Bombyx mori: one gene and its partner. The protein of the gene in region 1 interacts with the protein of each later gene in a pairwise test. Links are inferred from orthologs where the notes say so. Each region holds a gene or a part of one and is shown on either strand. Other genes may lie near its edges.

What was found. The genes of interacting proteins can lie anywhere in the genome.
Region 2: the proteins of proteasome subunit alpha type-1 (region 1) and zinc finger C4H2 domain-containing protein interact in a two-hybrid assay, tested with the Caenorhabditis elegans proteins (3 studies listed by BioGRID). The link is inferred for Bombyx mori from reciprocal best matches to the Caenorhabditis elegans genes pas-6 and vab-23.

Annotation. Positions count from the first base shown.
Region 1 is NC_085120.1:6,273,903-6,277,662, forward strand, and holds the start of proteasome subunit alpha type-1, read right to left. Parts: upstream 2,561-3,760; 5' UTR 2,379-2,560; coding exon 2,376-2,378; intron 2,102-2,375; coding exon 1,851-2,101; intron 91-1,850; coding exon 1-90. UniProt on the Caenorhabditis elegans protein: The proteasome is a multicatalytic proteinase complex which is characterized by its ability to cleave peptides with Arg, Phe, Tyr, Leu, and Glu adjacent to the leaving group at neutral or slightly basic pH.
Region 2 is NC_085129.1:15,695,894-15,699,553, forward strand, and holds part of zinc finger C4H2 domain-containing protein, read right to left. Parts: intron 3,224-3,660; coding exon 3,052-3,223; intron 1-3,051.

The DNA of each region.
Region 1 (3,760 bases):
TTGTTACCAACTGACGAGATGAGACGTCCAACGGGCATTGGAGCATCATGAGAATATCGGTGATTGAGACACTCTGTGCGCATGTAGCGACTGAAACAAAACATAATTCCATTATTAAATCGTTTTAATCCATTTGCATTTATGCTAATTAACCATTTTATTATGAAAGGTACGGATAGATGCTGGAAAAAACCTGGCAGGGCACAGAGAATATCAAAATCCATATATGAAGATTTAAATATTCCCTTGGAAATTTTTAATATTAAATCATGTAACATATCCATAGCATGCTTCTTCATGCAACTTCAATAACTTTATATTAGACTAGCGGCCCGCTCTGGCTCCGCTCGGGTCTTTAACAAAAACTTCAATGATATTTGATATTGTTTTATTTTTTCAAATAACACTTCTTGCGGCATAACTATAATAGTTAGACATAATTATGCTGTCGCGACACTTTTTGTGAATAATACTGTGTTCTACAAAGTCGTTGTATATTATTTTATTCTATCATCAATAGTTTTTGCAGGGCACGCGATGTGAAGAATATTTTATGTAATATTTTTACACCTTGGGTTACATTAAGTATTGGAGTTTTAGTAAGGATCCCTCATTTTTTCAAAAAAGATTATAGCCTATGTCACTCGGGAATAGTGTAACTTCCAAACAGCGACAGAATTTTTCAAATCGGTTCAGTAGTTTCGGAGCCTATTCAATACAAACAAAGAAACAAATCTTTTCTCTTTATAATATTATTTGTGTTGTTTGTGTAATATTATTTGTGTTTCTCTTTATAATATTATTTTAATATTGTGATACTTTTTTTACATATAGTCCAAGCATCTTAGTGGTGATACAGAAAAACAATCTTTCTGGTAGTTAATTAGATAGCTGCAAGCACAATGGTACTGTATTTAATTGTACTTATAGAGAATATTTTATTATCAGAATTTTTTTTACTGAATGAACACTTATTACCATACAATTCATCAAATTAATGGAAGAATTTATATAGTTAGCTGTTTTCAACAGTTTAGAGGACAGAATTAAGATTTCTATTTTTTTTTCTTTCCTATTATGTTTGGAGCTTGCATTGGACAAAGTAATTGTATATAGTAATGTGCTTTTACTAACAAAAGTGTAAGTTTTCATATTTCATTATAATTCACAATAATTTGTCAGCCTTCATTACATGACAAACCAGGCTTAAATGTACTTGATGTGAATAAATAACTGGGAACAAATCACGAACAAGGTCTGCTTAGGTTTAGGTAACTGTCTAGTTCTATCTATTTGTTTAGCTGGAATTATGAAAACCCAAAATTTCTGTTTGTGCGTTACACAAAAACATATTTATTTTATTTTAATAAAACTTATTAAGTAAGCTTAAAGGGTTTTGTTTAGTTGAAATTCATAATAAACAAAATATTTTAAAATATGGTCAAAAAAACAAATACATAATTACTGTTTAGGTCAAGCTCTAAACTAAGTAAGTCAGGATCAATATGCCTAATCTTGTAAGCCAATCAAAAGCGCGATTAAGACTTTGTTCAAAATTAAAAAAAAAAAGAGCCAGCAATGCTTGTCAATCAACTACTCTTCAACGGTTCAAATAAAAATTGCCAAATGGTTTTAAAGAAGTTAAATAAAAAAAAATCCATTTAACAACTGAAATGTTTTATGATTTTTAAAAATTATTTTTCTGTCCAATTCTACGTGTCTACTACCTATGTTTATGATACTGTATGTAATTGCTAGTAGCATTTAAGAACTACATATTTTCAATATAGGCGCCTGTTGAATTCCTACTAAAAGGAAGTAAAATATCTCAGATAGAAATCACAACATACCTCAGCATACGAGCATCTGCAGTAAGACCTGATATAGAAATTCCAATATGTTCATCAATAGGAATAATTTTCTTCTGATATGCGGACAATTCGCTCACAGCGCGTTTCAACGCTATCAACACCGCATAGTCCTTATTCTTCAGACCAATGGTTGCAGAACCAAGTTTCACAGCTTCCATTGCATACTCCACTTGATGGAGACGGCCTTGAGGACTCCATACTGTGACGTCGCTATCGTACTGGTTCCTGAACTGAAAAGCAAGTGACGGTTTTTTTTACTTGTGGTTGGTATAGGTTAAGAAGGTTAGTTATGACTGGACTACTTTGATCTTAGCAGTTTTCATATTTTTATATATTGATAAAACTTCTGCATGGCCGTATATATGCATTCAGCCGTATACATTCAGCTATTTTAGTATAATAAAGCTTTTTGCAGTGACTATGCAGATTTTTTTCTTTAAATAAAAGGATATATATTTGTCTTTTTAAAGAAATCTGGTAAAATTATTGACCACGATTACTTACCATTTTAAGTTTTATTTAATTTAGAAAAGTACAATTTCTACTATGAATTAATTTCATAAAATTAATGTAGCGGCGAAAGAAAAATATAGTTTACCATACAAGCAGACTAAGTATAGTCTATGCAGTGACTTTCTTAAAAGCATGGAGTTAATAAGTACCCAGAATAGTAACTCTATGCTTAAAAGTGACACTGACAATCACAATCTTTCAATTGTCAATCACTAATATTGTGAACTTAAAGCAAAGACTTACAGATCCAAGAACTTCTCTCTCGATTTATAGTAAAATATAATAATAGTTAGGTAATAAAATTATAATAATTAAAATATAATTACATAGTTTTATTTGATCTCGAAGTATATGGTGGAATTACGAATTTAGGCATAATGAGAAAACTGATTTAACACTACATATCTACATATTACCCGATAATGATAAACAGAAAGCAATTTTTTAAAGATAGAATTAATTATTATAATTAAATTGACACTAAATTTCTTGACTGATTTTTCAAAGGATCACGATTCCGATCTAGTGGTAGATTCTGCGAAGCACTGCTTTTGCTAGGGCTAGTGTTAGAAAATTTTGTCAGGTTGAGCCCCGTGAGCTCACCTACCTATCACTGCGCAGCTGAAATAGCTTCTTAGGCTAACAGCGGATAGGTAGGGGAATATTTAATTAAGCAAGCAACTTAACAGCCAAATCACTGTCAAAAAATAATATGAAAACATTAAGCTATTCCGTTTTTACGTTACTACAGATCTTTTAAAATAGAAAAGTAGAATTCGTCACTATGATGGAACTATTGAAGTCATCCAAAGTACTTTTAGAAGAAAAACATGTCACTCATTTCAAAGCCCAATGGTAGATGACAAGAGAGGTCTCTGAAAATGCACTGTGAACGCATTTAATTTATATGGATGAGTTCTAGTTCAGAAGAGGGGGTGCGATAGTAAAAACGAGTTAGCGGGATCATTTTGAAAATTCGATTGCTTTTAATTTTAGTAGTAGAACATAGATTTGATATAGTATATATTCTTGGAGGCTATTCTCTAATAGATTTTACCTACTTATTATACAAAATAGGCAGAATTGAATTAATAAGTTTTTTTCGAAACTTATTCAATTTTCAATTCAATTCTTTATTAAAGATTCGAATAGGAAATCTCAAAAGTTCTATTAATTATTACTTCAATTCTTCTCTATGATGCTTACATCTATATTTTATTTATGAAGATGTTGATGTTGATTATAGCAGATCTATACATATATGTACTCACTTATTTTCTCCTTTACATATCGATTTTACTTCGTGCGATTCTCCGTACATTATTACCTAAGTCGATAACATCTCCACGAAAATCGAATCGGTTATAAACCTTTAC
Region 2 (3,660 bases), on another chromosome or scaffold:
CGGATGAAGGCGACTTTTTACACATTCGCTGTACACCTTCTATAACACACAGCTTCTGATTGACCTCTTCGCCTCCACCGAATACTTTAAACGATTATATTTGAGAAACATATTTACAGATTTAACATATATTACGTATTTAGTCAACTACAACGCTGGTCCGAGAGGGATAGTGACTCAAAATAATGTGGTGGAGGCTGCGGTGCGGTACGAGAAGAAATACTTCCATAGAGGGAGAGAGGGAGAGAGAGAAGCAGGGAGAGGGAGAGGGAGAGAGGGAGAGAGAGAAACAGGGAGAGAGAGAGGGAGAGAGAGGGATATTGCTCGGACGCCGGCGGCCCTTATGTTGTCGTTCGGAACTCGTATGTAATATGAAATTTTATCCAATTACCCTTATTCCATGATGTTTGTTGTTTTAATGTTAAATATTTACCGTCACAAGAATACAAGTGGTGTGTGATGTCTTGTACACCGTTTGTGTTATTTCTAAAGAAGCCTCGATCAAACGCGAATTTCCAACTGAAGAACATTAATTTTATTTATTACATCATTATGTGAAAATAGTTGATACTCTAAAAATAAAACCCATTAATTTTGTACGAGCGTTCGCCCAGTGGTCTAAATACGACCATATTTAATTTCAATTATAAGCTTAAACATTATTATGGTTTTATTGTCAAAGACTATAAAACTTCTGTAATCACAGATTTCGCCATGGCTACACTATTAACAAATAATATTAACGACAAAAAATTTCAATCTATTCTCAAATAGACCACAGACTAAACAATAACAAAAGTTTGACAATAAACAAAGAGTATATATGCGTGTGTGTTTCAAATATATGGGAGTGTGTGTAATGTTTTTCAAGCTGATTTAATGTATTTTTATACATAATTAAAAAAATATATTAGCGTTCTGCACTCCTTCTCTATATTTTCTATAAGGTGTACAAAGTTTTTGCTTCACGTATATATATATTTGAAGTGACCGAATTCAGACCATACTGCTTTCTAGTTTCAATAAATGCGTCATTAACTGATTCATTCTAACCTTAGGCCAATAGAACAGAATCCGAACAAAAAACAATAATTTCTATTTAAAACGACAATGAGCTAGTCGCGTGCGCGGCCTGCAACAACGGGCGCGTTCAAATAAACACAATCGACATGATACGAATGTTCTCTGCCAGTAAAGTTTAACTGTAGACAATGTAAACAAACAACAACTCTTATATAGGGCCGCCGGTTTAAAAATAAAACCAAAACGCGACTCTGCTCTTTGAAGCATATTTATTCGAAGTGAGCCCTGCGGGAAACATGGCCGTGCTCCTTTAAAGTGAGGATACTATGCGAGTCCCTGTCACATCGGCCCCCGGTCATCTTCTCGTGCCATTCAAATACCCTGTTCTAGGAAGGCCATTCATATCTCGAAGTCATTCTGAATACATCCATGACCTTCCGCCCTCATGTTAAGCCGGTCTGCGATCACGCCGCGTAGTTATACGACAAAGGGAAGATCTTCCACCGAGCGGGTGATATTGCTCGGTAGACCGACGGTCAGTATGTTGTTGTTCGGAACTTGTATATATATGCAAGTTTATCTTGAAAATGTCGTAAGCGAGATTCAGGCCATAGTCAAATAAGTTTGTATGGTGGCAAGAGCCACAACCTCATGACGATTAAAAAAAAATATAACATCGCCATTATTGAGTGTGGCAGCCCTAGAACTGTTCTTTACTAGCATGTTTTCAATACCAGGTTTTTTTAGCGCATATTCATTGAATCCGCAAAATCATATAATATTCTTGTATGAATCCGGACAAAGTATTCTTTTTTAGGAATGATGACTCCGCAAATCCTCTTTTTCTTATGGAGATTATCGGCTATCCCAGTATAGTCGCAGGGAGCTAGTTTATAAGCGGCTTAAGTTGCAGTTTGTAGTTTGGCAAGGTAAACACATTCCGAATTAAATCTAAGGTGGGTGCTGTCCTTGCGGGGCGCGGATGTCGCGCGAGGAATGTAGCGGAGTCGCTTATTGTGGCCACCTCCGTACGGGCATCTCGTGGGAGATTCTGTCCCCGACACTGTACATCAATATTTGGTCGAGTGCTAGTATATTTCATCACAGCTCAACAAATAGCACTAGCATTACTGCCAATGTGAACTGTGAAGAACTGGACACAATGATGGAGAAGCTAGAGAATCTTCAGCTGGCCTTAGTTAATCGCTAGTCCCCGCTGCCCTTACACGACAACACTGAACCTCATATGCCACAACAGACGTTATCTAAGCTACAAAAGCTAGGTTTGAAAGGTTTGCGTCATCCGCCTTACTTGCCAGACCTTGCGTCGACAGACTTCTACTTTATCCAAAGTATAGACAATTTTTTAGCAAGGAAAAAATTTAGTACCCTAGAAGCAGTACAAAAGCCCTTTGAACGGTTTATTTGTTCCGTACCTGACTTCTTCAAGAAGGCCGTTGAAAATTTACCACTGCGCTGACAAATATATCAATACCAGGGGTGCTTATTTTAATTAATAGATTTATAAAAAAAAATTACTTTAACTTTCTATGAACTAAACAGCAACTTCATAAGTAAAGACCTAATATTAATTAAAACTAGTGTTCCCGCAGTAGTCGAAATTCGACTATAATTAATTAATATTATAAGTTTGGACTATTATATTTCTATAGTCGCAGATTTCGCCAAGACTACACTATTGACAAATACTTGTAATATTAAAAATAAAGAATATTAACCTATTCTCAATTTGACTACAGACTTTAAGCAATAACAAAAGTTTGACAATAAACAAAGAGTATATGTGTGTGTGTGTGTCAAATACATGGTAGTGTGTGTAATGTTTTCTTTATTGATTTAAAGTATTTTTAATGCATAATATAAAATAAAAAAAATACCATTGTGCACTCCTTCTCTATATTATTATTCTCTATAAGTGTGGGAAATTTCATACTCCTCCGTCCGCGCAATTTTCGTAAGAAATGGTAGAAAGTTTTTGCTTCACGTATTAATATATAGATAGCTTACTGCATTAATATCGGCATGTATCTGTCGAAGTTCCTCCACATGGCTCATCTTCTCCTGCTGCAGCAGCTCCATCTCGCGTTTGTACTGAGCTAGACAACGCCCCTCTTGATCACCGCTGCGCACCTCCGTCATGATGCTGCGCTTTAGTCTCTCCAGGGTTATAGTTTTGTTCCTGAAATTTAAAGGTACAGTTTCAAGATATTAAAATCAGCACTTTGTTATGTTACTTTGACATTTGAGTATTAAGCGGTAGGCAGCGGCTTGGCTCTGCCCTTGGCATTGCTGAAGTCCATGGGCGACGGTAGCCACTCACCATCACGTGGGCCGTATGCTCGTCTGCCTACAAGAGTAACACAAAAAAAACATTAACAACCAACGAAGTAAAGCATTTTGGTAAGTAGCTAAGAATTGATATTTTTGTTCTATTCTTTCGGGGGATAAATGGTAGCCCGGATCCGCTCCGGCTTAATCTTCTCAGGGCGGGTACGGCGGGTGCGACTAGTGCTGTCCGAGCGCCTCCGCGTGGCCTATCAATTCAAGGGGAGCTACTTCGCTAATACATCTACAAGTTTCCAGCCGCGCTTGGCCTGGGAGGAAAACGAGTTCCCT